Linked DNA regions of Arabidopsis thaliana. The protein of the gene in region 1 interacts with the protein of each later gene in a pairwise test. Each region holds a gene or a part of one and is shown on either strand. Other genes may lie near its edges.

Region 1 (11,805 bases):
AAGCTTTCCAATGGTAGAACTGAACAACCTATTATCCAGCAAAAGAGAAGAAATAAGCATTTGATTATATATGATGAAAGGAAGCCCGTTTAACAAGACATTTACTATATCAACTAATCACTAACGACCTCGAAGAAACTCATGTGAATGTCAAAGAGAAAAGTACCTGAAGAGCATGAAGAATGTTGGCAAATTTTCGGGTGAGTAACTTTCCTCCTTTAGCTAATTGTAGTGGTCCCATAAGTTGTTCAGAGGCATCCGTAGAATGATCTTCGCCTTGTAAGCTATGTACATCAAAACCAAGAAGATGCAACCTCGCAACGCAAACATCAAAACCTATGTTTTGATTAGAACCATCTTGATGAGGACAGAACCAGTACATGTTAGTGGATGCAGGCAAAGGGAGGCACACTTCATGTGATGTACATTGTGAAAGACGAGAAAGAAGCTTGGAATCTTCGTCATGTGATGAGTCCCGGCTAAACCAGAGTGCAAGAGTCAATCTTTCTCCATCTGTTACCTCATCAACTGAGTGAATATTCCGGTCATCAGCTGTGTACATGATAACATCCTGCTCAAGAACACAAACTCATTATTCAATCTAAGTAACCACTAAGCCAACTGAAAAAGAACAATACTTACACCAGCCGATGGAGCAACGGTTACTGGTTCACCACTCTGAAAACGAAAAAGACCGCCTATGAAATCTTTCTCGTAACTATTCAAGTAACAAACTGCCTTCAAACCAACTAAAAACCAAAGTCATACACACATAAACCACAATATCAACAAGGACGTCTATAGATTACAAAAATGAGAGTGAATACGAACCGCAAAATCTCTTTGTTTTAGATATGATCTGTTATCATCACTATGCCAACCAATGCTAGCTCCTTTGCACCAACTGATTCAAAACAAAGAATCAATATTTACTCTTTTTTCCTGACTTGTTTTGTTAAAGAGACAGGGGAGAGAGACTAACCTAATCAAACCTGTGAATTCAATAAAAAGCTCATACTCACACCCAAATGTTTCCTCTATCTTCTCTTTCAACCTCTCTGTTAACTCAACACAACAAAGATCATCCCTTTGAATCTCACAAAAGTAAGATATAAAGACAAAAGCGAAATCTTTGAGTTTTAAAAGATTGACCTCTAATGGAGACAAAAGGGATGATGAGGTGAGGAGAATTAGTGGCAATGAGGTGAGAGAGAGTAGTGGAGAAGACATTTGGTCTGTACCCAATTGTACTGCTACTCTTGTGTATAAGCTCAAGTTCCTGTTTTTACCTCAAAATTAACCAAACCCACATGATTAGACACAAAATTAAGCAAAAAAGGGACAACCTTGCATTCTGCCGGCGACAGGAAATTGTGTAGAATTAGCCGAGGGTGCTCTTTCTCCGACATGTCTCTCCGGTTTGTGTAATGAATCCAATGAACCCAGATCGATTGTGGTTGTTTAGGGTTTCAGTTAATCCTGTTCTTACTTGTCTTGTCTATTTCGGTGTACCACCGCTTTTGGAATTAAACTGAAATTAGTTTGTTAATCTTTTTTTTCTTTTGTTCATTAGAATAATTAATTATATGATGTTAAAAAAAAATTATTATGTAAGAAATGTTAAGTCGGTAAGTTCCAATTAACTTAAACCGGAATTTTAGAAGACAAATGTTACAAAAACTTTTGAAAATAACTAATCAAAGTATCAAACTGAGGTAAAATGAGATTATACTAAGTGCTTACCACTACAATCGAATTTAAGTTCTTACTAAACTTCTAATGTTGTTCAACTTTTGCTATCATGAAATCCTCTACCAACCATCGATTTTTGTTCATTATTTACATATTTCTAGTTCAACATTATCACCACCACATTTGCTCTTAAACATAACCGAGAAGACAAGTGTTAAAAATCTCAATTTCCTAACCACCAGTCTAATTGTTGACTACTAAAACGTCTGTAATCCTCTAATCTCTAACTCTTAACACATATTGTTTAAAGAGCAAATTAAGAATTAAGACAATTATGAATCACCGATACACTTATTAAAGTACTTTCTCTTGTCTCTATTTTGACTTTTGAGTGGTACTGATAGGTACAAGAAACACAACAAACCCTAGATTTATCTTCATCTCTCTCAATTCTGTATCAAGCAAAGACGGATTCAACGATGTCTTCACCTGAATCACCTTCCGGTTCCGACTCATCCACACCACTTCTCCGTTCACGGCAATCATCACCACGTCGTCAACCTGTAATCGCGGTTCTATTAAATCGAGCTTCAGGACGACGAGGAGCTTCGATGGTGGTTAGAGAAACAGCTGCACAAGAGCTTGAAGAGCGACGAGCTGATTGGGGTTACTCGAAACCTGTTGTTGCTTTGGATATGCTTTGGAACACTGCTTTTGTTCTTGTTGCGATTGTTATGCTTTTGGTTTTTAAAGAAGAGAAGCCAAATGTTCCTATTAGGATTTGGATCTGTGGTTATGCGATTCAGTGTCTTGTTCATGTTGTCCTTGTTTGGCTTGAGTTTAGAAAGAGGAATGCTAGAAGCAGACCTGGAGATTTAGAAGCTGCTCAAGCTACGAATCAGGATAGTGAAGATGAAGACAACGATGAGAGGTTTCTGAGGTTAGCTCTCGATTCAATTATCTGTGCTGTTTTGTTCTTTAGCCAAATGATTTACTAATGATTTATGAGAATCAATTATTTTCAGCACTAAGACTTGTGAATCAATGAACACTATAATATCATTTGTCTGGTGGATTGTTGGATTCTACTGGCTTGTTTCTGGTGGTGATATCCTTCTGCAAAACGCGACGCATTTGTATTGGTATGTGTTGGTTTGCTCAATGTTTATTTCTTCTAGTTGAATGGTAATGACATCATTATGTTTATTAATGTTTGCAGGTTAACCTTTGTTTTCCTTGCATTTGATGTGTTCTTTGCCATCTTTTGCGTTGTGCTGGCATGTCTTATTGGAATCGCCCTCTGTTGTTGCCTACCTTGTATTATTGCTCTTCTTTACGCCGTCGCGGGGCAGGTATGGACTATAACAGTAACCCTTTTGGAAGAAATGAAAGCAATAAACTGCCTTTTGATATGTGTGTGTGTGTGTTTAGGAGGGTGCATCAGAAGCAGATCTCAGCATCCTTCCCAAGTACAGGTTTCACACGATGAACAATGATGAAAAGCAAAGTGACGGTGGTGGGAAAATGATACCTGTGGATGCAGCGAGTGAGAATTTAGGAAACGAGCGTGTGCTTCTTCCCGAGGATGCTGTAAGTTTTTGTTTTGAAAGTTATCTTGTGGATGTTTTATATGAAGCTTAGAGCTTTCTTTTGAATTGGGTTGGTATGTGTAGGACTGTTGTATATGTTTGAGTTCATATGAAGATGGAGCAGAGCTGGTCTCACTTCCTTGCAACCACCACTTTCATTCTACGTGCATTGTGAAATGGCTGAAAATGAATGCGACATGTCCACTATGCAAGTTCAATATCCTCAAAGGTAATGAACAAGAATGAAGTAATGTAGAGGAAACTTTTCTTCTTTTTATGTTGTGTTTCTTTTTGTTGTATATAGAGTAGAGAAAAAAGAAAATGATTGTGTTGTTTGTAAGTCATAAGACAGTTTGTTTCTTTGTTGAAATTTGTTGTCAATTCTCTTTTTTTTTTATCAAATAATAATAGATATATTCATCATGTAGCTAATCGCGTAAGACAAAAATAATCCTCATTTGTGACATTATGTTTGTTGTTCATGTAAACAAACATAAACCCCAAAGATATATCTAAAACAAATCAAGACCAACATAAACCCAAAAGATATATCTAAAACAAATCAAGACCAAGAGCTAAAGGTAATACAACAAGTTAATCTATAAAACTTCGGTCGCAAATGGCAGTGATATTCAAAAAACGAAACATTATATTGATTTACATTCAATTTAAATAGATTTTTTTTGTTTCTCATAACAATTTAAAAGGACTTTTATTAGTAGAGAATCAATCAAATTTGTTAAAAGAGAAAACATACATAATTGATTGTCCCTCAAAAAGAAAAACAAAGAGATCTCAACAGATTACAGTGATTAGATTAGTGTACACGTATTTAGTTAACAACAACAAAAAAAAAAAAAAAAAAAGACATATTACACGTTCCCTCCTCTCACGCGCAAAGCATCTCTTTGACTAATCACATCTTTTCTACGCTAATCACATCACTAACCAAAATAATTAACCATCCACCTAAATTATATACATACAATATTGCCATTTACTATATTATAATTACTAACCTCTATATTTCATACTTAAGTGCTTGATCAAGTGAACGTTGATTAATTAACAACCTAATCTAATCTTTGTTTTTTTTCCCTCTTCTTGTCTTGTCACACTTGCTATTAGAGAAGACGACTAGAGAAAGAAAGATAAACAACAACACTGTGACAGCATTTAAATCTCACTCTCTCTCTTGTTTCCATCACTACAAAAAAAAAAAAAAAAACGAACGATCTCTCTGAAACTATCTCTTTCTCTCTAGATATGTTGTTGAGACTCTGATTTGAAATCCCAGAGAAAAGCATTTGGATCCTCTCTAGAAATCTGCATTTTGAAGCTACTTTTTTGTTTGCATCTGAGTGTGTATAGATCCTGAGGAATTTTGATGTGTTGTTGAATCGGAAGGAATTTAGATCGGAGTAGTCGGAGATGTCTGACGTTTCGGCTGACGGTGGTTTTTTGTCGGCGGAGCAAGCTACAACGCCTGTTGCGATTCCGACGCCGTATCCGTCATTGACGGTGTCGGCGTCCTATAAGGAGAAAAGTTCTGGGAGGAGGAGACCGGTTAGGCCTAGTTTTGATGCAGCTGCTGATAATGAGTTTATTACTTTGCTTCATGGTTCGGATCCAGTGAAAGTTGAGCTTAATCGGCTTGAGAATGAAGTTAGAGGTGAGATCAATGCTTGCTCGATCTAGTCGTTTTCGTGTCGATTCAGATCTGATTTTGTTTATTGACTTTGTTTTTTCAAATGTGGTTTTAGATAAGGATCGAGAATTAAGTGAAGCTAATGCTGAGATCAAAGCGTTGAGGTTATCTGAGAGACAAAGAGAGAAAGCTTGTGAAGAGGTGTGATTTTTTTTTTCCTTTTTTGGAAGATTTTGTTTGTTTTTTGTGGCTTATGGATTAGGTTATGGCAATGTTGTTAGAGAAGATTGATAGCTTATGTGTAGTTTCAAGTTCCTTATTGTGCTTCTTGTTAGCTGATTTTTATCTTATGTGCTTTGGAATTTTAATAGCTTACTGATGAGCTAGCTAAGTTGGATGGGAAGCTCAAGTTAACTGAATCGCTTCTCCAAAGCAAAGTATGTATCAAAATCTCCCTCCTTACGATCATGATTTGGCTGGATATCTGATTATGAACTATGTTGCAGAATCTAGAAATCAAGAAGATCAATGAGGAGAAGAAGGCTTCCATGGCTGCTCAGTTTGCTGCTGAAGCTACCTTAAGAAGGGTCCATGCTGCTCAAAAGGATGATGATATGCCTCCGATTGAAGCCATTCTAGCTCCATTGGAAGCTGAGCTTAAGCTAGCTCGCTCTGAGGTATGTTTTACTCATTTGAAGTCCAAATTTCTACTTGCAAATCGGATATTAATTTATGATGTTTCTGTGAAGATTGGGAAGCTTCAAGAAGATAACAGAGCTTTGGATCGTCTCACTAAATCAAAAGAAGCGGCTTTACTTGATGCTGAGAGGACTGTTGAAACTGCTCTGGCGAAAGCTGCTTTAGTTGATGATCTTCAGAATAAGAACCAAGAGTTGATGAAACAAATAGAAATCTGTCAGGTGCTGTACTCATTATCATCTTCTTTGTATCTAGTTAGTCAGGCTTTGGATGCCTTCTACTTATCACTCATTGTTTGTTAATAATTTCTATTATCTGTTTGATTCTTTAGGAAGAAAACAAAATTCTAGACCGAATGCACAGGCAAAAGGTTGCGGAGGTGGAAAAGCTTACTCAGACTGTACGGGAACTGGAAGAGGCCGTTCTTGCTGGTGGTGCTGCTGCAAATGCCGTGAGGGATTACCAGCGGAAGTTTCAAGAGATGAACGTAAGTTAATACATTTCCGAAAAAAGAAGTATAGAATCTTTACTCAACTGATGAAGGAATATTTCTTGCTCTACTTTTGCAGGAAGAACGAAAAACTCTTGACCGGGAACTTGCGCGTGCAAAGGTTACAGCAAACAGAGTTGCGACAGTGGTTGCAAATGAATGGAAAGATGGTAATGATAAAGTGATGCCTGTGAAGCAATGGCTTGAAGAAAGAAGGTTTCTACAGGTTTACTTTGATATGATTGCCCTTTTCCTAAATTTGTGGAATCCAGATTCTTTGAAGTGACAAAGGCACACAACCTTACATTCTCACTCTTTAACTCTCTTCTTGCAGGGAGAAATGCAGCAACTCCGCGATAAGCTTGCCATATCAGATCGAGCTGCGAAATCTGAAGCACAGCTAAAAGTATTCATCGTATTTATGCATTAGTCATTGTCGAATTTATGTTCTTGTTTAACTGAACTAATTAGTAAACTATTTCCTTATACAATTTCTAGGACAAGTTTCAACTACGACTTAGAGTGCTTGAAGAGACACTGAGAGGCACATCAAGCATCAGCATAAGGAACACACCTGAGGGAAGAAGCATGAGTAATGGACCGTCTCGCAGGCAGTCAATCGGTGGATCAGATAATTTACAAAAGTTTGCGTCAAATGGCTTTTTGTCAAAGAAAACTCCGATGAGAAATTCCTTTACTTCTAATTCCACCTCGGTATTGAAGAATGCTAAAGGAACATCCAAGTCATTCGATGGAGGCACAAGATCATTGGATAGAGGCAAAGCACTCTTAAAAGGACCTGGGAATTATTCGTTCAACAAGGCTTGTGATGAAACCAAAGAATCAGAGTCACCTAATACCTGGAAAGAAGATTCAGAAGAGAAGCCACCAAGTGAACTCCCTGCACCAGCAACCGAAGACAATGTCCCAGGGGTTTTGTATGATTTACTACAGAAGGAAGTAGTCGCCTTGAGAAAATCTTCGCATGAAAAGGATCAAAGCCTCAAAGACAAGGATGATGCCATAGAGGTAAAATCTCTCTGAATGTACCATATAAAATGTTGTTAAAAAGACGTGTTTGTAATGGAAGTCTTGATATTTTTCTTGTAGATGTTAGCAAAAAAGGTTGAAACTTTAACAAAGGCAATGGAAGTTGAAGCAAAGAAGATGAGAAGGGAAGTGGCTGCAATGGAGAAAGAGGTTGCTGCAATGCGTGTGGATAAAGATCAGGATAATAGAGCTAAAAGGTCTTCAAACACCAAACCCTCATCCAACACCGCCCAGATTCTTGCTGCAAGGTATCTAACAATGTTGAATATCTTTGTCTATTTTTATGATCAAATTGCGATTTTAGCAATCAGACTAAGCTTGGTGTTCGATATTCTGCAGAGCTGCTGGCCGAAGTGGGTTAACAAGGAGTACACAATGAGATGAGGGAGGAGATGTGACTAGTTCTTGTGGTCGTATCAGTTTAAACAAGTAAAACCGTTATAGGCTGGTGTGATTTTTAAGCTCTTTTTAACCTTTATATCTCTTTTTTATTTCTCTTGCTTTCCTTTACATCCTCTGTGATTTATTGAATTACCATAGAACTTAAGGATGAAAAAGATAAGTATGCTTTCTGACTTAGATCGGCTTACACTGCTTAGCGATGACGACAAGAAAAAAGGGTGGAGGGAGAGATGTTTGACATTTTCGCATAACATTTTCTGTCCTATGGAAGTAGTTTGTTTGGCTGTATAGGTTTTAGCTCTGTATTGAAGTTTGTGTACTTTACTTTTTCGGTTTCTTCATTCTATTTACTTGAGGTGTTGTGTGATTATTTCTACTTTTGGGTTTGTGGATATATATATATATGTCCAAACTCAGTGTCTTCTCTCTTTTGGATGGTACGTCAAAAATCAAATCCTGCATGGTCGAGTAACAAGGAGAAGTATATTATAGAAGGATCTTCATACAGCAAAACCATTAACATTACATGAATATCTATCTAAAGCGTACAACAATCACTAATTTACTATGTACACACGCTTCTAGCTTCTGATATATCTCTTCTACATGTCGTAAGAGTTTGGAATGTGACAGATACAAAACCACAAACCAAATGAAGAAGGAAAGAGTCTTTACAGATCCGAGTCTTGCCGGCTAGCCAAGCAGAGTTCATGTAATTCATTGAGTATCCATTCCTCACCAGTGTGACCACCAAGGACCAATACTCTAGTTCCTCCAACAACGCATGTGCTATGTCCCCAAGCTAACTTAGGCGGTTTCCCGGGGACATTCAGGATCCTCCATGACGGTTTCTCTTCTGCAGGATCTATTAGAAACAGTTGCGAAGGAGAGTGAAGCCCTGCAATCGACCCTCCAAAGATGATGACCCTACCACACGGCATGCTCACAGCCACATGGTCTAGTCTTGGAGGCGGTACAACCACGCCTGGGAATGCGCTACACTCAAGCTCTCTCCATCTTGGTTCTTCATCCTCCAAGTCTATAGTGTATGCCTCCCCTGACCTTAGCTTTAGATGACCACTATTTGCAAGCCCGCCAAACATTAGGATTTTAGTCCGACCAAAGACCGATAAAGAATGCCCAAGTCTAGAAGGAGGAGCCCATGATGTCGGGATCTCTTTCCATGTCGGTTTATCTGTTGTCAGATCCAACAAGAAGGTGTCGCTGAGAAGCACTCCAGCGTCTGTGCAGCCACCTGAGACAACCAGTTTAGAGCCCTCAATGGTGCACGAGCTGTGCCAAGATCTTGGCAATGGAGGAGTTCCTCCTGCTACTTCCTTCCATGTGGGATGCTTAGCGTCTAGATCAAGCACAAATACATCATTAAGCAATCCTTGTCTTCCACACCCTCCAAAGACTACCAACCACGACCCGTTGAGACACGAGAGTGTGTGTCCCCAACGTCCTGGAGGCGACGACGTCACCCTCACACGCTGCCACTCAGGACACTCTGCATCAAGATTGAGAACAAAAGTATCATCCAATGGCTGCATGTTAACCCCTTCCCCACCAAATAGCACAAGCCGGTTCCCAACAGCACACGCGCTGAAATTGCAGCGGGAAGGTTGTACAATCCCTCCAACAGTAAATTTACGCCAACACACAGCTTCAAGAGTGGTGAGCTCTCTAGCTAACCGACCCCATCTTAGCTTCTTAGTCATAATCTCCAGTGTTCCAGTTATCTCTTTTCCCCACGCATTCTGACATACCATCTTCCTCACACTCTCGTTCTTCGTCAACTGCCTCAACCTCCTGCAAGCAGAACCAATTGAAGCAACGTCCCTTGGAGTTAACCGAGATAAGATGTTATGAGCCAAAACTTCATCAGATAGCTGCAATATCCCACAGAAATCTTCATGATGCTCCTTAAACCTCGGGCTTCCACTTGGAAACAAGCACTCAGATGTTTGATCAAGCTGTTGTTTATGTTTGAACACAGGATACGAGACACGGTCAAGGTCTATAGTCGTTTCAGAGAAGACCTGTATCCCAATTACGTGTGTAATGGTTCCATCATCGTCACGTATTGGAGCAAGCCGTAGTCTGTTAACCAAAGGAGTACCATCTTTTCTGAAATTAAGAAGCTCTCCTTGGAATTCAATACCTTCTTCAAGACATCTCCTAATCTCAGATACAACCACAGGATCAACCAATGGGTGACGCCTTTGAGCTCGAGGATCTCTGTACTGTAGGAATCGACTGAAACCAAGCAGATTCAACCACAAATGCAGCATTATTCAAGAGAATTGATAACAACACACTCCAATTCAAAAAGGGGGAAATCGGAGAAATTAATATACCAGTTACGACCAAGAACTTCATCGGCACGATAGCCAGTGAAGACTTCGAAGACTCTGTTGACATAGATCAAAGGAAAATCTGGCTCCAGAGCATCGGAAACAATGAACGAAGGCGGAGTCATTGGGTAATAGAACATCCCAACCTCTAACGGAAGCTTCTCATCCTCTACTTGTTCTTCGATTCCATCGTTACAGTATTCTTCTGCTTCTTCAACTCTGCCGCGTTTCTTTCGTTTTCCGGTGGCTTCTCCGATCGCATGTTCTCTCGCCATTTTTCTCGCTTACAGAAATATCTTCTTCTTCTCTGATAAGCTCTCAGCCTTATGATATTTTATTTCTTTTTGTGTCTGTTTAAACTTTTAAAATATCTTGGCTTAGTTGGTGACTTATTGACGAATATACCCTTTATATTTAAGACGAGGCAAGAAGTCTTCGCGCCAGGAGTTGGTGGCAATTTTCGTAATTAAAAGGATATATCAGGGGTATGTTTAAAAAAAGTAAGTCTACTCTTGTTCGATTGTAACACGTCACCAGGGGATATTCCGAGAAAATATCTAGCCTACTCAACCACTCGCTTCTTCCACGTCATCATATTTTGTGAAAGATATTTGTTTTTTTTTTGAAGATTGAGATTTGAGGGAAGATATTTGTTTTTGTTTGTGAAGTGTTGGAACTTGGAAGTTGGAACGCAATTGGAATCAGATTCACGTAACCGTTGACTCTGGTCAAATAATAGATATTTTTGTGAAACGCGATTCTCGAAAAGGTTACACATAATGTTAATGTAACAAATTGAGTTTTCGTGGTGAGTGGAATGGGATGATGAGACAAGGGAGTTTTTCTCCCCAGTTGAGAAAATTCAGATTTAGCTCTAAAACTTCCCACTTATATAAGTTTCTAAACAAAAAAATTACATTAGAAATACGAAAATGTACGTAAGTAATGTAAATATGTAATAATTGATAGCAATAGTGGCCATAGACCCCACATAGTGGCATACTATGAGAGTAATAGAGTTAAGTGTAGTCCTAAGATTTACAGAAGTCCAGATCTAGGCCCATACTAAATAGCTAGCCCACAAAGCCCACACAAAAACTTAATTTGAACCAAATAAATAGACAACATATTTTTTTTATTTTTCTTAACCGTGTGAGAAGGCTTCTGACCATAATCTTTCAAGTACATGAAATCAACCTTTACATATTCCAATTGTGTTCAACCAAAAAAATATTCCAATTTAAATAATATATTTCCATTCCAAAAAACTAAACACAAGAAAACTAACCCTTTTGGTATATAGACAAAATAATTGTTTCATAGATTTATCTTTTTATTTTATCTTTAATTTCTATACAATTAAAGGTAAATTAAAGGTAATTTCTATACCACTCCAACATTTCCTGTTATGTTTCATTAGCTACTTCAAGTTTTAGATTTATATCGGGTTCACAAGACGTCAATAAATTACATTCCTTATCACCTCAATAAAAAAAGTTATGATTTTTTGTTTTTCTTATTTTTTCTTTACTTTTTGATATAAAAAAAAGTTCTGGCTTTTGTTATGTAATTTGATTTTTTGAACACAAACAATCGAAACTCAAACATCTTTTTGGTGGACTAAAACCCAACAACTTTTTTTGATTGATGAAAAAAATAACATTCATTTTTGGAGAATATAAATTCAGGGAAATTTATAATTAATTAAAGGTATTGAGGCTCTATCTATTGCCAATACTTTTGGGACCGCTTGGTTCATCGCGAAGACAAAGAGACATGTTCAAAAACAATGGTACTCATCGCACCCCTGTCACTAGAATAATAGCCACTAATCCTAGTCTAACATTGGCCGGTCTGGTCTTTTTCTTTTTAAATAGT
Region 2 (10,399 bases), on another chromosome or scaffold:
TTTCTAAAACACGTCATTATAACTCACGCGTTTAGTTTGATAGACATATAATGATGCACTTAATACTTTCATATTCGTTGTCATCTATGTGTAGCAGCATAGTGCACTTGTTCGTCTCAGACTTTATAGAATTTTAGATTCGTGAGTAGAAAATGGCTTTTCGCTTAACTTTTCATAAATCTTATGTCACACTTAATTAAAAATTGACTAGCACCTTAAAATTAACATATATGTGTAACATGAAGAATATTGATATCTTGCATGATACTAACTCTTTTGGGGTCTTCTGAAAAATAGATTGCATGCATATCTGATCAAATGCAAATAGATTATGTTATAAAAAAAAGTCATTTATTCTACTGATTGGAATGGAAATAAGTTTTCACCGGCGGGAACAAAAAAGGTGAACACGTCGGCAGAAATAGAGAATTAAGAAAGACTGCGAGTTGGTGTACCAAATCTCATCCGTGCTTCTCATAATCAGGTACACGTGTCATTAATCGGTTAAGGTGGACCACCCCATAGATAAGTACTACTGTGTGTGTGTCCACAGCAGATAAATAAACCTCTTCTTTCATGTTCTCGACCACGTCAGATTTTTTAGCAGCAAAGCACACAAATCCCCAAGAAGCTTCGTTTTGGTATGTTAAAGTAAAATCGAATAAATTTTGCACACAAATCTCAATTTTAATTGTCTTTCCCTCTTCTCGTGAAATTTTCCGACAAAATATCAGTTTCTTCTTGCCGTGAGTTTTGGTTGGTCTGACCAAGAGTCCTTTTATTTGGTCAATACGTTTCGAAATTTGATAATCAAACTCTTTCTTCCTCTTCTTCTTCTTCCTTATCCGTAGACTCTAGGGTTTCAATACGATTCGAGTGTGTCTGTTTGCTCTCTAGTCAAAAATTTCACTCTGGTTAGAAACTTTCCCTTTTGGATTGTGAAACTGCTATTTTAAATCACTGCTTATTGATTCGTGTTCCGGAGTGATCTTGGTGAATATTCTTAATTTGTTTCGTTGTTTTGTGGTTTTAGATATCAAACGATCTGGTTTGTCGGATTTGATATTGGAGCAATGGCTTTGGTGAGTCCAATTCCAGCAATGGGTGAAAGAGCTGGATCCATGAGATTTCACGGAATTGGTAGCCCAGGATCAAGGTCTAGTAGGAGCGGGATTATGGACGAACCTGTCTCGCGGCTGATTGACGAGAAGATCTTCGTTGCAGTGGATAAACACGTGGCCAAGAGCAAATCTACACTCATTTGGGCTTTGCAAAACACTGGAGGCAAGAAGATTTGCCTTATTCATGTTCATCAGCCCTCCCAAATGATCCCACTTAGTATGTTCCCTTACACCTTGTCTCTGTGCTTTTTTTCCACTTAGTCTTGTTTGTGGTCACTGATCTTGTTTTTTCACATTGATTCATCCTAGTGGGCGCCAAATTTCCAGTTGGTGCTGTGAAGGAGGAAGAAGTCAGGGTTTTCAGGGAAAAGGAAAGGGAGAAAGTACATATGATCCTAGACGACTACCTTCGTATATGCCAGCAGAGAGGGGTATGCCTCCATCTATTTTCCTTTTCTTTAGTGTTGATGTTATGCCCTTAATAGGGAACTTGTTTTACTTCATTGGCTAGCACTACGATTATAGTGTCCTTATGATAGATAGTGTATTTATGATTGTAGGTCAGGGCAGAAAAGATGTTTATTGAAATGGAATCCATCGAGAATGGAATTGTGCAGCTCATCTCGGAGCTGGGAATCAGGAAACTTGTCATGGGAGCAGCAGCAGATAGACACTATTCAAGGTATGCTTATGGCGAGTCACTAAGCATTTTTTGGGATCTCTACTTATTCATACTGAATCAACTCCTGTAGATCTGTGTGCTTCTTACTCTTCAATATCCTTATGTTTTGCTTCCTCTATCAATACTTTGGCTTTCAGGAGAATGACGGATCTGAAGTCCAGGAAAGCCATCTTCGTACGCCGAGAAGCACCTACTCTTTGTCAAATATGGTTTACTTGCAAAGGATACTTGATACATACAAGGTTTGGCCAATTCTTCTTCTCATCACAACCGAATCCTTGGATTTCAAAATGACTTGTACGAATCAGCCATGCATAATTATTACTCTAGTAGTCTTTAAGCTTCCCGAGATCTGCATTGGCATTGAAAATGACGCATCTGTGGCTGCTTATTAGTAATAAATATTGTACTATCATTGCAGGGAAGCTACTATGGACGACACTGAATCAGAATATGCATCTCCGCGTCCTTCCATAAGTGCAAGTGATCTACTTCAAACTTTCTCTACACCGGAGTCTGAACATCAGCATATATCTCGAGTACAGAGCACCGATTCAGTTCAACAATTAGTAAGCAATGGAAGCTCAACTGAACAAAGCGGGAGGGTGTCGGATGGGTCTTTAAATACTGATGAGGAGGAGAGAGAATCTGATGGCAGTGAAGTAACGGGAAGTGCAACAGTTATGAGTTCTGGCCATTCATCTCCCTCCAGTTTTCCGGTATGCCATGTTGTTCCTAATGGAAAAGCAATGCATTTTGATTTTCATATAACATTGTATCTCAGCTGTCCAGGAAATTTGTCCATCATTGCAGGATGGGGTGGATGATTCTTTTAACGTTAAAATCCGAAAAGCCACGTCAGAGGCTCACAGTTCAAAACAAGAAGCTTTTGCAGAGACTCTTAGGCGTCAGAAAGCCGAAAAAAACGCACTTGATGCAATCAGAAGGGTGAGTTTCCTTACAAAAATAATTTAGTTGGCACTGTTAAAACTTTTTTGGAAATGATTGCTAGATGTTCTAGCTGGAGATATATACTATACTGGAACCGCTAGTGTATCACTTGGAGAGATCCCTAGGCTTAATAGTGGTGCTTCTAGTTACACCAATAACAGCTAAAATATTATAGTATACTGATATTATAGGTAATTATTATAGGCTAAACAATCAGAAAGTGCCTATTCTGAGGAATTGAAGCGAAGGAAAGATACGGAGATAGCAGTAGCGAAAGAGAAAGAGAGATTTATAACAATAAAAAACGAGCAAGAGGTGATCATGGAAGAACTTCAAAGTGCAATGGCTCAGAAAGCGATGCTTGAGAGCCAGATAGCAAAATCTGATGGTACAATGGAAAAGCTAAACCAGAAGCTTGATATAGCTGTGAAGTTGTTGCAAAAGTTGAGGGATGAACGAGAGGAGTTGCAGACAGAACGTGACAGAGCACTCAGAGAAGCTGAGGAGTTAAGGAGTCACGCAGAAACCTCAACCCTACAGTTGCCTCAGTACTTCACGGATTTCTCATTCTCCGAGATTGAGGAAGCAACTAATCACTTTGATTCGACCCTGAAGATTGGGGAAGGTGGATATGGAAGCATCTACGTTGGTTTACTGCGTCATACTCAGGTGGCTATAAAAATGTTGAATCCTAACAGTTCGCAAGGCCCTGTAGAATATCAACAGGAGGTATTTTCTTGACATATTATTAGTGAAATTTCTTGTTTAGTTTCATCATCATTGTTTACTGGTTTATTGTGCACAAACTGCTGCCTCTACGAAAAAGGGGACTTTGAAACACAGTTCTACTGTAGTTTTGATTTTATAGTGTTCGCTGTGGAGGAGCTTTGACTTATTCTTGCGGCATTGCAGGTTGATGTCCTAAGTAAAATGAGGCATCCAAATATCATTACGCTAATTGGAGCATGTCCAGAGGGGTGGAGTCTTGTCTATGAGTATCTTCCGGGTGGAAGCCTTGAAGACAGGCTTACTTGCAAAGACAACTCTCCACCCTTGTCGTGGCAAAATCGTGTGCGCATTGCCACTGAGATATGTGCAGCACTTGTCTTTCTTCATTCTAATAAAGCTCATAGCTTAGTACATGGTGATTTGAAGCCGGCAAATATCCTACTCGATTCCAATCTCGTTAGCAAGTTAAGTGACTTTGGGACCTGCTCACTACTTCATCCTAACGGAAGCAAAAGTGTGAGAACTGACGTTACAGGCACAGTTGCCTATTTGGATCCAGAAGCTTCCAGTAGTGGAGAGCTAACTCCTAAGTCAGATGTTTACTCGTTTGGGATTATCTTATTGCGCTTGTTGACCGGGAGACCTGCCTTACGGATATCAAATGAAGTGAAATATGCCCTCGATAATGGAACATTGAACGACCTCTTGGACCCTTTAGCAGGGGACTGGCCCTTTGTTCAGGCTGAGCAGCTTGCTCGCTTAGCATTGAGATGCTGCGAGACTGTCAGCGAGAATCGTCCAGATCTTGGAACTGAAGTGTGGAGGGTACTTGAACCTATGAGGGCTTCTAGTGGAGGATCTTCATCTTTCCATCTTGGCCGTAACGAGCACCGGATAGCCCCTCCATACTTCATTTGCCCCATTTTCCAGGTAACTAATCTGTATATTTGAGTATGGATTTCCAGTATTATTATCAATCTGAGAAGACTTCGATCACAAAGTCATTAAAATTTGCTTATCTGAGGTCTCAAACCGTTATGTTGCAGTCTAATGGTACTCAACCCGTTCTTCCTCTGCTTTGTTTTCAAATATTTCAGGAAGTCATGCAGGATCCACACGTGGCTGCAGACGGTTTCACATACGAAGCAGAGGCTATAAGAGCGTGGCTGGACAGTGAGCATGATACTTCACCAATGACCAATGTCAAGCTTTCTCACACCAGCCTAATAGCTAACCATGCTCTTCGTTCTGCGATTCAAGAGTGGCTTCAACATCATTTGTGAAAATAAAATCCTTCAAACCCTCAATCCCTGTTCTCTTATGAAAAAACGTTTTTGCCTTTTCTGCGGGAGGCAACAGAGTAAGTGAGTAAGATTAGTGTTTTCAGTCTTCCTTATACATATACATACGATCTAATCATGGATAGCAGCATATTTGTTTACTTTTTCAAGCATAGTGTAAGTCCTCCATATCAGTCATATATGAAAAGAAGAAGCTGGTGAGATTTGTATGTGGATATGTATATATATATATATATATATATATATATATATATGTTCTGTATGAAAAAAAAAGTTATATGCTTATTCGGTTTGTGTGAGAAGAACTGCCACTATTTTGTTCTTCCATTATGTTCGGCTCTCTTAAGAACAAAGATTAGCCTCTAATTATTGGACATGATCTCACTGATGATGCCTTTGCTTAGCTAAAATTAGGATGAGTCTTACATTTTTAGTCAAGACTATCGTGTAAGACTTGTTTTCCACCTGGAAGAAGTTACCTTGGATTGCCTATAGTGATTTTTAATGAACTCTTAAAATTCTTGTGATTAATCTTACTTAATTAGCAGTGGGGTCAGGTCGTTTTGGCGGCTAGTGGCATAACTGTATAAAAATTCAGGATTGCACTGAGGTAAGCCAACCTAACGCAGCCTTTAAAGACACCAACCTGGAAAATGCTGAGAGTATTCTTCAGGATTTTCTCAAAAGTCTTGTGAAATTCGTGTATTTGTGTCAATATGTCGACATTTCTCTTCATACACAGATACTGTCGCTTTTGATTCCTGGTTTGGCTTGTTGAAAGTCAAAAAGCCTTCATTATTTTAATACATGATTCAGCTTCTGCGTTAAGGCTAGGTTTCGTCATTGGTACCGTGGTTGACTTCGTGTGCATGTTATAACATAAGAAAATGTTCTTGCTTGTTGATTGCTCCCTCTGTTAGATAAGTCATCTCTTTTCTCGTATTGCAAATTTTAAGTTTGTTCTTGTTTATTCTCTTGAGTGAATTAGAGGTATGTTTTGAGTGTTCTCATATGGAGTGTGTTGGAGATAGGAGCTTCGATCCAAGCAAAGGGGAAAAGTGTTGGCTTCATGAGGCTTCGATGCAGCCTTAAACGCTAAAATCCAGGCCAAGCAAGATGGAGATAGAGAGAGATGATGGGCAAATCAGGTTCGCAGCAGCTGCTGATGGATGAGAAGATATATGTTGCAGTGGGGAGTGACTTGGGGAACAAGTCCACTCTTGTTTGGGCGATACAGAACACTGGAGGCAAGGAGTTCTGTATCGTCCACGTTCACCAGCCACTCTACAGAAAAGAAAAGGAAAAGACACAAAAGATCCTGGACAAATACCTACAAAAATGCAGGCAAATGCAGGTATGTTTTTGTTACTTCTATTGCGAATAAGTGATTTGATGATACAAGAGATAAAGAGAGCCGATTGTGATATTCTAGGTCTGTGCTGAGATGATACACATTAAAATGGAGTCGGTAGAGAAAGGGATCATCCAATTGATCTCAGAGCGCAATGTCAAGAAGCTCGTCATGGGAGCTGCGTCAGACACACGCTATTCAATGTACAAAGCACACCGGCATAACTAAATAGTTTTGGATTTTCATCTTCTCATAGTTCTTGTTATTTCACCGATGGACTCATCATTAATCTTAATTTGTAGGAGGATGGCAGATCTGTTGTCCACGAAAGCCATTTACATTCGTCAAGAAGCGCCTGCTACTTGTTGTATATGGTTTACTTGCAAAGGATACCTGGTATATAAAAGGTCTACCCCTAGTCCCTGTAATCTCTGTACAACTGTAAATACTACTTCAGAAGTTTTTTTTAAAATGATATTTGTGTTTTGTCACACTCTTGTGAGTTTTAACAGGAACTGAGATTGTGAGAACAATCACATGTCACAAGCTCTAATATATCTGGTGATGGTATAATGCAGGGAATCTATCATGGGCAACACCTCTCTAGAGTATGCATCTACAAGTTCTGGTCAAGATTCAGTCCGTTCACGAGGATCTGTTATACCTTCGCGCCAATTCACGATATCTAGAGGAAATGGAAATGTGTATCAGTTAGCTGTCTTTGAAGCTGAGAAATCGAAAAAAGAAGCAAGCTTGGAGGCTTTCAAGCATCAAGAAGTTGTAAAAGAGAAAAATGAAGCAATCAAAAGGGTAACATCTTCTTGGAATCTCACATAAGCTATTGCCATTGCCCATTGGGAATGTTGTCCTTTTTTCCTGATGATAACGAAGTTTTCTGACCAAATGTAGGGTAAAGAATGGGAAAGTGCCTATTTGGAGGAGTTGAAACAAAGGAAAGAAACAGAGATGGAGCTGAAGAAAGTGAGAGAAAAACTCGAAAAGATGAGGTATATATCTGAGAACCGAATAACCGAGTCTTATATGTTGGTACAAAAGCTGCAAGACAAGTATAACTTGGCAACGAAAGTGTTGAGAAAAGCCAAGGAAGAACGAGATTTATTGATTAAAGGACGCGACATAGCAATTATAGAAGTAGAGGAGCTAAGAAAAGAGGTCTCTCGATCTGATGAGCACCGTGAAGCTCCTCAGTACTTCATCTGTCCCATTTCACTGGTAAATAAAAAAGTCAATATGGAGAGAAACAGAAGATTGTATCGAATCAGTTCACAAATTAAAACCTTTGTTTTCAATGTTTCAGGAAGTGATGAAGGATCCACAACTAGCAGCAGATGGATTTACATATGAAGCAGAAGCCATAAGTACATGGCTTCAGGGAGGACATGAGACTTCCCCAATGACAAACACGAAGCTTCATCATACAAAGTTAGTTCCAAATCTTGCTCTTCGATCTGCAATCCAGGAATGGCTTCACGCTTCATCCTCTTTTAGAAAGTGAACAGAAATAAAATCACACTAAATATATATTCTTAAGCATTTGCTTCAACGAACACGTCTACTTGTACTTTATATTAAACCCATGTAATGAAAAACCTTTTCTTCATTTTTCTCTCCATTTTCTATTTATTTTCTTAGTAATACAATCTGACCATATGTATTACGTTGAAAACAGCCAATTAACGAAATAAAATATGAAAAGATACTAAATCCCATTTGTTAATTGACTTTATCTTCAGTGTGTGAGACGTAACTGCTTGTGAACTTCTTCTTTTCTCATCTTGTGTCAGTGTGTGGCTTGTGAACATGTCTTCATTAGTTTCTTTCGAGTTTACATAACACAAAGTGAAACAAGAAACTGGATTCTATATTGGATCCACCAACTAAAATACAAGAAGAGAATAACTAATGAAGTTTGCATAGTAACTAGAGAGGCATTGGAGGGATCCAGTAAGGGAAGAGTGGTGTTGTGGAGAAGGCTGAGGGAGACTTGGGACGAAAGGAACGTGGTTTTCTAGTGGCGATATCGTAAACACCAAAGCCATCGCCTGCAAAATAGATGGAGTTAGGGTTTAAGCCAGGGAATGAGCTTGCCTTGACACAGAAGGGCTCACTTCTGCCGAGGAATATGCAGAGATCTCCAATGTCCTCAGTGTAACACATGTTCATATCTTCCTCCTCTCTAAAGACCATGAAATGCTTTGTTCCACGACACAAGAATGTCATCCTCTCGCCCGGTTTGTAGTTCTGAGCGTACCACTTGACTAGGAAACGCTGTCCTGAGGGAGACTCAACGAGGTGTACAGTCGGCGGGGAACATGAGTCCAAGAGCTCCCACTCGGACTGTGTCACCTCAGGAAGGTTGCAAAACCGCAACTCAAATCCTCGAAGCAAGAATCCCAGAAACCCAACAAATGGCCTCCAACACTAGGAGTGTAGAACTTTTTATCTCTCTTTGAATACATAACCTTTGACTGATCAAAAAAGTGGGATTCGGTTTTAAAGCCTAAACCCGAGTAGTTGTCAGTTTTGCCACAAGGCCTAAAGAAATGGATCTCAAGTCCTAAACAATTGGCAGCCACTACAAAATCTTTACTTTGATCTGGTGAACAAGTCATTGCAGCGTTAGTGATGAGGCGTAATTGAGTAATATTAGGTTTACCCATGGGATACATGGGATGCAAAGGAATGATTTTGGGATTTGATTTGGAGCCACAAGGATTGCAGTAGTCGCTAACATAAACGGCTTTATGTCTACCATCACCTGTCTCCACATTGAAAACTCCCCATCCGTGGGACATTCCAACCAGACTCGTATTACGCAACTCCATGGGAAAGGCCTTGTCTCTGACAATAATTTCATCTTCCTTGACCGGGTCAAAATAGTGTATAGTGCTTGTTACATCAATATCATCCAAACAACTTCCATAATGTATCAGACTAAACATCAAGTAAGGGTTGGTGGTGGTGGAGGAGGAGGAGAACATACGAAGGGTACTGTGGCGGCATCTCTGGGGAAGAGTAAGAAGTAGACACATAAGAAGGAGAAAAACGAAAGAGGTTATACAAAAAGAACTAGAGAGAGGATAGATTTAATTAATTACCAGAGAAAGTTTGCGGAGAGAGGTCTTGGAAGAGAGGCGGAGAAGCAGAGATGACATAGCTAATAGCTTCGCTTGGTTGCTCTGTGTGTTTCTTCTCTAAAGGGTTTTCGAGTTAGTCAAGATCTAATTAAGACCAAAGTGCTTGCCACAAGAAAAAGGAGAAGTAGGGTTCTCAATTATTACTAGAGAGATGTCTCTTTCTCTTTATTTTTTCCACGTTTCTCTCGTTTTTCTCCTTCTTATGTGTCTACTTCTTACTCTTCCCCAGAGATGCCGCCACAGTACCCTTCGTATGTTCTCCTCCTCCTCCACCACCACCAACCCTTACTTGATGTATTATGTCACCTATTCTGATGAAGCCCCACAGGCCGGTGCAATGACAGAGCTCCGCATGTTTGACCCGGCCAAGGAAGAGTATTTCACCGTCCATGATAAGCCACTTCCCAAAGAGTTGGTTAAGTCGAGGCTGGTGGGAAGTTCCCATGGTTGGGGAGTTTTTCTTGGCTCCCCTAATTCCATACTAATTAGCGACTACTGCAATCCCTCCAGCTCCAAATCAAACCCCAAGATGATCCCTCTGCCTCCACGGAGTTATGAACACTCTTGTCAAAATGAATTGGTTAGTGGCGTGGCAATGTCCTCTTCTCCTGAAGAAGAAGACTTCGTTATGGCTGTCAAGTTCACGGGACGTCGGGTGAGTATATACAGGCCCGGTCAACATCGTAAGGGGAACCACCGCTTTTCGTCTACTGAACTGTTCGATTATTTTGAACAAGCCAACTTGATGTATTCCAAGAGAGATCAACGGTTCTACATGCCAAGTTCTGGAGGCCACCACTTGTGGTCTTGGGATGGTATAATATCCACCGACTCTCAGTACCATGACTTACGCTTTCACAACCTTCCTCAGTTTTCACTTTCCGAGTTGCAGCTTTTGAGATCTTGTTACAGAACACAACATCTTGTGGAGTCTCCCTCAGGACAACGTTTCCTAGTCAAATGGTAGGAGCTTCTTCTAGTAATTTGTTTGCTTTTGTCGTTTCATGTCATCATTATAAGAACATTTTCTTCCTTTTTTCCTTGTGCTTGGCAGGTCTGTTCAAACCCTTGGCAGGTCTGTTCAAAGCCTTGCGCATCGGTCGGTA
Region 3 (8,965 bases), on another chromosome or scaffold:
AAGCAATGAGGCTCTTTAGCGAGATGGGGTTGAAGGGTTTGGACCAGAATTCTGTTACGTACACGGTGATGATCTCGGGTTTGTCCAAAGCTGGAAAATCAGACGAAGCCTTTGGATTGTACGATGAGATGAAAAGGAAAGGGTATACAATAGATAATAAGGTTTATACTGCACTCATTGGAAGTATGCATTCACCTGAGACTTAAAACATATTCGTCAAACAAAGACCTGTATGAGCTGGTAACCCCTGAAATCTCTACCTGTTAATGGTTAAAATCGGTTACTTGAACAGAACCATTTATTTTCTGAAAGATTCTTTGAGCTAGTTGGGACAGGGTATGTATCAAACTTTGCTGGAGTATGATCATTTGGTATCCACAATGGATCAATCAAGCCACCATTGATGTCTACGCGGTAAAGAAAACAAAGCTCGACGCTTTTGGTGTATTAAATTACTATAAATTTGTCTGTTCATAGAACAAAGCTTTTCGAATGTAGGTGTGTATAAACTGATATTGAAGGAGTTTTCTAGAACCCTGTGAATCAAATCTAAGGATTGAGATGTTGATTCTGTGTATATGAGCCAGACATTTATGAAGCTTATGAAGTACTAGATGTTGATATCTGATGAACTTTTATTCTTTCAAAAAGCCAGTGACGATGAGGGTACCATTCTTCAGAAATACGAACAGAATCACAACTCATAATCGAGGCCAGCTCCATATTTCCAGGCCTCGAGACATCTCTTCCACTCGAACCTCGTCTTTGAGGGAAGTCCTTCCAAAGACGGCCTGAGAATACACAAAAATATCAAGAAAGTTCAAGAAACACGACATCCATAATGTGGCAGAGTCATGGCAACAGAAGCAACAATCCATACATAATTTCTTAAAGAGATTCAGAAATGTTTCACCTTAGCAATGGATCGATGTATGCCGAGAGGAGCGTATACAAGCCCAGCATGAAAAAATGAACAGACCAATCAAGCAGAACAGGTATCCCAACCTGAGGAGAATCACCAAAGAAACGAAGATTTCATGAATAAACCAAGAACATTTTCAATCTTTTGTTTCCGTTTTCTGGTTCAAAAATGATGCAACGATTATCAAAGGAGAGCTATACCTGTCTGAATATTGACGGAATTATCTGAGGTTTGGTCAGCATGACAAGGCCTAATGTCTTTGCTAGAGGACCAAACTGTATTATATCCTGAAGAAATGGTCTGAGAACTGGATCGCCCAATCTCTACAAGAGAAATATGAAACCATTACTTAGAAGCCAAAGTTCGAAACTCTCATTTCCCGGTTTAGAAAAGTGTACTATACCTGCATGCAACTGAAATTTACATGGAGAAGCTCATTGGTGAAGCCACGGGAAACATCGAGCTGTTGCTTTGCAGACATTGCTCTTTGAAACAGCCATGATGCGCTCAAGTTTGGCTGTCGTTCAAAAGCCAAATGGATTCAGTGAAGTTAATAGCAGGGAGAAAGATATTTAGCTGAGAACCACAAAGCTATATTACCATATAAGGATTTAGCTTTGATAAGCTGTCAGAGTCCAGAAGATCTCCATCTATTGCGTCATAGATTCCTTTTTTAAGTTGAACAATAAGATTGTCAGAAAATCTGAATATTCTGAAAGAGTTCATGATATAAAAAGTTGTATAATGTTCAATGAGATATGGAGACAGCAAGTGTACTCTCAGAGAGTGAGTGTATATACCATTGGACAATCTTCCAAGGTGTCTGGTCAAACTTCCAAAACCCCCAAATGAAACAGGTGATTGAATACCGCTAGCATCACCAAACTGAGTAAAAAATTTGTAAGTAACTTTGATTATTTAGTTTATCAAATTATCAATCCGCAAACTTATCTTGGAAGCTTATATATAAATGAACCAAACCAACCTGTAGAACACGATCAAATGCAGCTGGCAACGGACTGGTGACAAGTCCAATCCAACAGGGTTAGATATGTCAGAATGCAGCAGTATTATTGTACGAAACTGGTAAACAGAATTATAATATCAATGATAGAATTTCAAACTTCCAGAGATGATAGATATAGAGATACAGGCATCAACGGAGTTTCTTGTCAAAGTCGTACCTATTTCGGTATGTAGGAAAGATTCCGTATACAACTCTCAGTATTTCCAATTCATCAAGAGAGACTCCCTTTGCCAAAAGACATCAGGAAAAGAAAGAAAAAACGAAAGTTGATGAAAGATTGTGATATAAGATGGAAGGAAACTCACTTGGTATTTTGGCATCAGTTTCCAGTATTCTTCGAGTAAATCCTCTAAACTCGGAGATGTTGATTGCGGTTCAGTGTAAGTGAACATGTAAGTAGTGCGGTCTAATGGACCAGAGCCAGCCGGGAAAGCCTTAAAGCAACAATAAGCATCCTTATATTAAAACCATTTCTTTGTGGTTATGGGAATTGTGTTAGAATGGGGACAGATTTTTTTACCTCCCAAAAGAGTTGTACATTGGAATCTGCAACTCTGGTCACCGATGAACTGCTATATATAACGTCGCTTGATGAGTTCTCTTTAAACCCATGAGCACAAGATCCAACAACAAGGCACATTCCATCTGGCTTTCTACCACGTTTGATCTTTTGTAGCAGAATACATAACAAGAAAAGTATTATGCAAGGGCAATACACAATTTGCTCAAGAAAAGCGAATCAGTAAGTTTTATTTTTTTACCACCATAACTAATGCAAATGAAAATGTAAAAGTAGATATGTTCTTAGGCCAAGATATGACCTGCTTCAGAATAGGAGAAAAGTTTCCCATGGCATCAATAACGAGACGGGAAGATAATGTGTCACCTTTAGAAAGTTGCATAACCTGTCAATCAAAATGTTCAAACAATTCATATCAATAAGCTGAATACTCTTCTTAGGTACAATGTTTTTGGAGAAAACGCCAGATAACTCACAGCTAAATCATTGTAGATGACGATGCTCGAGAGGCTGGAGTCTTCTAAAATGACTCCACCAAGAGAAATGAAACGTTGTTTTACAGTTTCCACAAGTTTGGCTGGGCTGTTTTAACATACAAAACGAAAAAACAAACAAATCATCACTTTCAGAAAGTAGCAGAACACAAGGGGATTATTCTTTTCCTATGTATTAGAGAATAAGAGAAGACAGGACTCACGAAACGCCGAGGTTAAGAATATCTTCAACCCATATATCACCAAGATTCTCAAATCCACATCTGTTCTGCATTTGTTCAAGATAACCTTAAGCTACATGACTTTTATAAAGCATCAAGATATTGCTTACTGAAGAGAAGCTTTACCGGATTGAACTTTGCAGCAATTACTTCTTCGATCTCATCTTCGGTTAAAACTCTGACTTCAGTCAGTTCTTTCATCTCTTTTCTTGAGATATTCCATTCTTGATCTCTCTAAATCACCACAAAACCAAAAAGCTTTAACAATAGCTTCTCCAACCAGACCTCAACCACAGCATTAACTAGAAGCTTTACCCCTTTGATTGCATTTCTCTCCACCACAGCGACTCTTAAACCCTTGGCACATAGAGCCGTGGCTAGAAAAATCCCCAAAGTACCCCCACAAACCACTATGTCAAAGGTTCCAACGAGATTATTCCCCATACTATAATCTTGAGAAAAACCAGATACCCTAGAAACAATTTGCTGAGTTTCTTGTGGTCCTGCAAAGACTAACATTCATCACCAAGAGAAGCATATTTCTTAATTATCTGAATGGTTACCAAAAGACTATTGTTCTTATTACCTGTTGGTTGAGTACATATGTTGGACCAAATATTGTCAAGTCTCTTCAAGGCATTATAAGAGTAAGCACCACCAGCACCTCCAGCTTCTCCACCAACTGAAATACTCTCCATTATCTTCTGCATATCGAAATGATTGAACTCATACTCAGCTAAAAACAACTCATCGTGAAGTTAAACATGCTTATGCAATCTCGCTTAAAGGCTCTCAAGATTCAAATACTAAAACAACTAAGAAAGAACAAAAGCGATGAAAATTTCTTTTCCTGTGCAATGAAAATCAATTATCAGTTATCAAGAGCAAACTTTCATCACAATGCAGACCACAAAATCATCTCTAATCCTGATAAAGTTCACAACTTTTTCTCATTTCCCCCCAGAGGATGCGTAATTGAGCAGAAAGCTTGACCTGTGTAAGAGAGGGAGCCAATTGTGTTTGAACGCACACTGTCGTCGAAGCTCTCCTTCTTCCTTGGTTTGTCTGAGCCCTTGATACGGAACTAACGAACCCATTGAACTGATGAATTTGCAGAACCACCATGACAATGAGTTCCAAAACAAATGCTATAAAACCAAGAGCGAACTTTTGATAAACAGAGATAAAACTTGTGAAGAGAAAACTGGAAAGATTGTGCAATGTGTCAGAGAATGTGACACGTTTACAGTCTTACAAAACAAAAACATTTTGGGTTACATTAACTCAAAACAAACTTCTGTTCTAAAATTAAAACAAATCTAAATGTTAGTATCGTTTCTGTAATATTTATTATATCCTCTTCTTCTTTTTTACTGATTCATCAAATCGGGGATCGGATAAGCCTGACTGCTTCAGGGTTTAAGGGTTACTCTCACTCACACTTCCGCTGGTAAGAAATTCGATTTCGATGCGTATAATCTGTCTTCCGCTTTTTTTTTTGGTTTTGAAATCGACAACCTTTTTTTGCGGACTTGTTGGGTTAAATTCGTATATCTTCAATTTTGCGATGAGTTTTCACTTTTCCAATCGAAATAGCAAATGGGCATTAGCTAATTTCCTGAATTGTGAGTTTTTGTGTTACGCTGTGTCATTGATTCATATAAGCTATTGCAAAGAGAGTAAATGATAAAGCCTTCAGCTTTACAATATAATTCACTTTTACACACTAGAGTTTAGAAATTCACCTTCTTTCTCTGTTTCAGGAGTTACAAGACTTTAACACATCACAAAGAATTTCGATATGTGTTATTTAAAGTTCATTGTGGATCTCAGGTTTCACAAGATTGGATAGAAGCAGCCATGGCAAGTCTGATAATGACTACACCATTCCCAGGTTCTGTCACTGCATGTAAGAAGACAAATAACCTGTCTGTTCAGAGAGCCTTTAAGGTGACTTGTATGCAGACAGAGAAACCATTAGAGGAGCTATACAATGTTAAAGTGGAACGGAAAGTTTCACAGAAACGGTTGGAGGAACTCGGGGTTTCGAGATGGTCAGTTTGGAAGACAGGGAAATGCAAATTGCCATGGGATTGGCAGGTGGATCAGTTGGTTTACATTGAACAAGGAGAGGTTCGAGTAGTTCCCGAAGGAAGCAAGAGGTATATGCAGTTTTTAGCTGGAGATCTTGTTCGGTATCCGAAATGGTTGGAAGCTGATCTTTTCTTTAACGCTCCTTATATTGAGCGGTATTGTTTCAAGGCCTATGGTGATGATTGATCCAACTTAGACTTTTGAGTTTTTAGTAGAGCCAAGAAACTTTACACTTGTTGTGTGTTGTTGTAGCCTGATGGATCTTTTTGTGATAATATAAGAAAACAAGTTCTCTCTCCTTTGTTCTGCATTTTCAATGCTAATCATAAGTAAACATAGGCAGCATCAGAGAGAGATAAAAAAAAATCAAACATAAAGAAAGAAACTCAAATCAAAACATCATATTTGGACAAAACCCCACTATTTCATCAACTGAACAAAAAAAAGAAAGAAAACCAAGCCAGATTTGCCTGAAAACTAAATCCGTTTTACTTGTGGCTTAAGCAATAAGCAGAGTTATGATTAGGAAGAACTAGAGCTGCTCTCTCCTGAACAGCCTTGGCCAGAGTGGCTAGAATCTACTGCCGAAGGAATGGGTAACGGTACCTGACCAGATTCACCTCAAGTAGAAGCACCATCGCCGCCACTGCCAGATTCTCCTGAAGTAGAGCCGTTGCTGGAATTTTTGGGGTGAGAGCAAAACAGAGTTTGCCTGTTCCAGATCGGAAAGACCAGAGAGGAAAGACGTCTTTTTCCTTAAACGAATTCGACTTGTTAGCATCAAGCACATCGTTCCAACCTTTAACAAAGACATAATTCCAGTTTCCCTTCATCTTCCACTTCCTCAACTCAAGCGCATGCTTATTCATCCGAGGATCCACCAAATTCACAGGCACACCATCGTCACGAATCTTCATGGCATTTTCATGTATGATTCTTGTCTCGTCCTCTGTCAAAAAGTCCGGAGTTTTCACTTGGTTAAAAGGGACTTGGAGACGTGCTTTACCTTTATCGAGATCAGACTTAAACAATTCCCTCGTTGAGATCAGCTTCGGATTGTAGCCATTCTCGTTCCTCATAACGTTCAAAAGCCAATCGGGTGGAGTCGTTTGAATTTGGTTGCACCTCTAAAGGACTAACGACTTTGCCTTTCTTGGGACGTCTCTCTTCCACCTTAACAGAACAACGTTTTTTCTTGGACTGACTGACACAAGATGACATAGACGACTGTGAATCCGGATTAGGGTTTTCTAGTACGGAAGTAATTGATCTACGTTCTAAGAGGCTGTCAAGCGGCAACTCTGCGACAACTTCGTACATCAACTCCTGCATATTAACCCGCCCTGAGTTAACCCTAGGTTCCTTCTTTTTCGATTTGTCTTTCTTAGTCTCGTACTCTAACGACATGACGGGCGGATTCAACAGTTTAAAGCTTTTGTCTTCGTTAGTACCGTACTCTTTGTGCACATCCCACTGACGTCTCGAAATTTGTTCCACCTCAAAGCGACCAAAGGTTTGGGGCTTCTGAAGAATTTCACGTAATCTCGTCAAACATCTCTGCTTGGAAAAACTACGATCATCAGATTTCATCATCTTGATCAAGTCTCTTGAAGATACAGAACCGGAAATTATAAAACCTAGAAGGAAACTCGAGTTCTAGCGAAAGAGAAAAAGGTTAGCTTTGTAGTCAAGGAACGAAGGTATTCAGGTTTTCCTTTTCTTCATAGGGAAATTGATTTTATTTTGCGATTAAATTAATGAGAGTCGGTGAGATTACAATTTTTACACTCCTGGGCTCTAAATTAAGCCGCCTAATAATTTGTTATCCTTAAAGGACGAACTACCCTTACCCAACAAATGTAACATATGTTTTCGTTACTCAAAAAATTTCACATGTAAAGAAATACTTGTTCTGTTTCTTATGTTTCCATAATAAAATGAAGTAGTCATGAATACGTTGTTTGATATGGAAGAAACTAATTTAATAGTTTCGGCTCTTCTGTTATAAGATCATAGTTTAAATGTAAACAGAACATGCCATAATTCTGTTTTTGAGTAACTTTACTTACTCATTGATCAATTTACAAAAAAAAAATGAAACAGAACAATTTTAATCCTAAGGGTGTCTGATGCCTCTAAGCCTATTCTGACCATTATTCTTGATGAACCACCCTGGCTTGTACAAAGCAACAACATGTCCAATTGCCAATCCAAACAACACCCCTGGTCCATACCCTATTGCCGCTGCTCTCCACTCCAATATTTCTTCTTCTTCTTCTTCGGGCTCTTGTGTCGATGGTGCGTCTTCTCTTAAACAGCTTTCTTCAAGAGGAAGACCACATAACCCTGAATTTCCTTCAAATGAGGATTTAGGCTGCCCTATGATTTGTGTTCCTTGTGGTATTTTACCAGTGAGTTGATTATCAGAGACATCTATGTACGCTAAATACGATAGTCTTCCGAGTTCTTGTGGAATTTCCCCCGAGAGTTTGTTCCCTGACAAGTCCAATGACTCGAGCTCTGTCACATTAGCGAAAGACATCGGAATATGTCCAGTGAATGAGTTGTTTGATAAGTTGAGAGCAATCAATGTTTTCAAAAGACCAATAGATTCTGGAATCTCTCCTTCAAGCTTGTTGCCAGAGAAATCAATGGCGGAGTAGAAAGTAAGAACCTTGCCTTGCTCCATGTATAGACCTTTGTATTGCAAATCCAAAGTATCTTCATAAACAAACCGATCACTCGAATAGTCTCCCATATATAGCCTCTCTTCATCATACATCTTGAGAGATTTTACACTCCAATTCGCAAAGTAATTCGTTGGTAAGCTTCCCGTAAATCTGTTATGCGATATTTCAAGTATCTGGAGCTTGGGAAATGCAAGAGAACTTTGATCATCTGGTGGAGACATAGGACCATGGAAACTGTTTGAACGGAGAGTAAGGACTTTCAAATTGGGCAATGCCTTGAGCCACAAGGGAAATGAATCATTGATTCTGTTGTGATCCACACTAAGAAACCTTATGAATGAGCAATTCAGGAGAGATCTTGGAAGTTCTCCGGTTAGTTGATTGTATCCAACATCAAGTGTCTGCGTCAAAGCACCGCTATAAAACTCGTCTGGAATGTTTCCTTCCAACTTGTTCTTCCGGAGATTCACTATGGTGAAATTACCCATACATGGAGGAATTGAGCCAGTGAAGTTGTTGTAGGACAGATCAAGAACATCAAGAGAGGTTCTGTTACAGACCGAGAGAGGAATGTCTCCTGTGAAACTATTGTTCCAAGCAGACAAGTTGATGATAGAGACCGGTGGATTAGGGAATGATCCTTTGAAAGAGTTTAAAGCAATATCTAGTACTTGGACCGATGAGTTGGCTAAAACATGATCCAATGAACCGTTGAAACCGGTGAATGAATTGTTACTAAGATCCAGAGAGACTAAAAGAGGAAGACTCCATATCCAATCAGGAACGTTTCCTTTGATTCTGTTGCTGGAAAGATCTAAATACCATAACTTCTTTAAGGACTTTAAGAATCTGGGGAATTCACTGATGTTGCATCCAGACAAGAGCAAGATCTCCATGTTCTTTGGAAAGTCAATGTCTGAATACACACTCGTTAGTGTTAAACTGTTGCCGTGAAGATCAAGGTGTGTCAAAGACTGGAGAGGAGAGAAAATTGATA

The links.
Region 2: the proteins of MAP70-1 (region 1) and AT2G45920 interact in a two-hybrid assay, tested with the Arabidopsis thaliana proteins (one large-scale study listed by BioGRID).
Region 3: the proteins of MAP70-1 (region 1) and AT2G32650 interact in a two-hybrid assay, tested with the Arabidopsis thaliana proteins (one large-scale study listed by BioGRID).

What each region holds. Positions count from the first base shown.
Region 1 is NC_003070.9:25,507,134-25,518,938, reverse strand, and holds MAP70-1 (microtubule-associated proteins 70-1), read left to right. Parts: upstream 1-4,337; 5' UTR 4,338-4,712; coding exon 4,713-4,953; intron 4,954-5,044; coding exon 5,045-5,130; intron 5,131-5,300; coding exon 5,301-5,366; intron 5,367-5,435; coding exon 5,436-5,606; intron 5,607-5,678; coding exon 5,679-5,849; intron 5,850-5,959; coding exon 5,960-6,115; intron 6,116-6,197; coding exon 6,198-6,344; intron 6,345-6,452; coding exon 6,453-6,524; intron 6,525-6,616; coding exon 6,617-7,147; intron 7,148-7,228; coding exon 7,229-7,416; intron 7,417-7,507; coding exon 7,508-7,547; 3' UTR 7,548-8,052; downstream 8,053-11,805. Other genes in the region: AT1G68080 (2-oxoglutarate (2OG) and Fe(II)-dependent oxygenase superfamily protein), read right to left, coding at 1-28, 167-571, 643-738, 832-904, 983-1,058, 1,153-1,279, 1,347-1,409; AT1G68070 (Zinc finger, C3HC4 type (RING finger) family protein), read left to right, coding at 2,172-2,632, 2,718-2,834, 2,912-3,044, 3,124-3,282, 3,366-3,527; FKF1 (flavin-binding, kelch repeat, f box 1), read right to left, coding at 8,242-9,829, 9,931-10,202. UniProt on the Arabidopsis thaliana protein: Plant-specific protein that interact with microtubules. In association with MAP70.5, is essential for the normal banding pattern of secondary cell wall and for the proper development of xylem tracheary elements and wood formation.
Region 2 is NC_003071.7:18,893,447-18,903,845, forward strand, and holds AT2G45920 (U-box domain-containing protein), read left to right. Parts: upstream 1-5,182; 5' UTR 5,183-5,916; coding exon 5,917-6,138; intron 6,139-6,216; coding exon 6,217-6,338; intron 6,339-6,437; coding exon 6,438-6,542; intron 6,543-6,713; coding exon 6,714-6,945; intron 6,946-7,044; coding exon 7,045-7,368; coding exon of another isoform or gene 7,369-7,453; coding exon 7,454-7,651; 3' UTR 7,652-7,857; downstream 7,858-10,399. Other genes in the region: AT2G45910 (U-box domain-containing protein kinase family protein), read left to right, coding at 1,074-1,338, 1,431-1,552, 1,682-1,803, 1,941-2,045, 2,225-2,522, 2,617-2,751, 2,959-3,483, 3,667-4,413 and 1 more; AT2G45930 (uncharacterized protein), read right to left, coding at 8,499-9,161, 9,255-9,311; AT2G45940 (hypothetical protein (DUF295)), read left to right, coding at 9,547-10,256, 10,348-10,399. UniProt on the Arabidopsis thaliana protein: Functions as an E3 ubiquitin ligase.
Region 3 is NC_003071.7:13,846,503-13,855,467, forward strand, and holds AT2G32650 (RmlC-like cupins superfamily protein), read left to right. Parts: upstream 1-4,486; 5' UTR 4,487-4,634; exon of another isoform or gene 4,635-4,869; intron 4,870-5,017; 5' UTR 5,018-5,044; coding exon 5,045-5,464; 3' UTR 5,465-5,486; downstream 5,487-8,965. Other genes in the region: AT2G32630 (Pentatricopeptide repeat (PPR-like) superfamily protein), read left to right, coding at 1-206; AT2G32640 (Lycopene beta/epsilon cyclase protein), read right to left, coding at 695-791, 914-1,005, 1,123-1,245, 1,326-1,439, 1,523-1,590, 1,723-1,807, 1,908-1,941, 2,107-2,174 and 9 more; AT2G32645 (B3 domain protein, putative (DUF313)), read right to left, coding at 5,487-5,583, 5,885-6,357; RLP22 (receptor like protein 22), read right to left, coding at 7,395-8,965.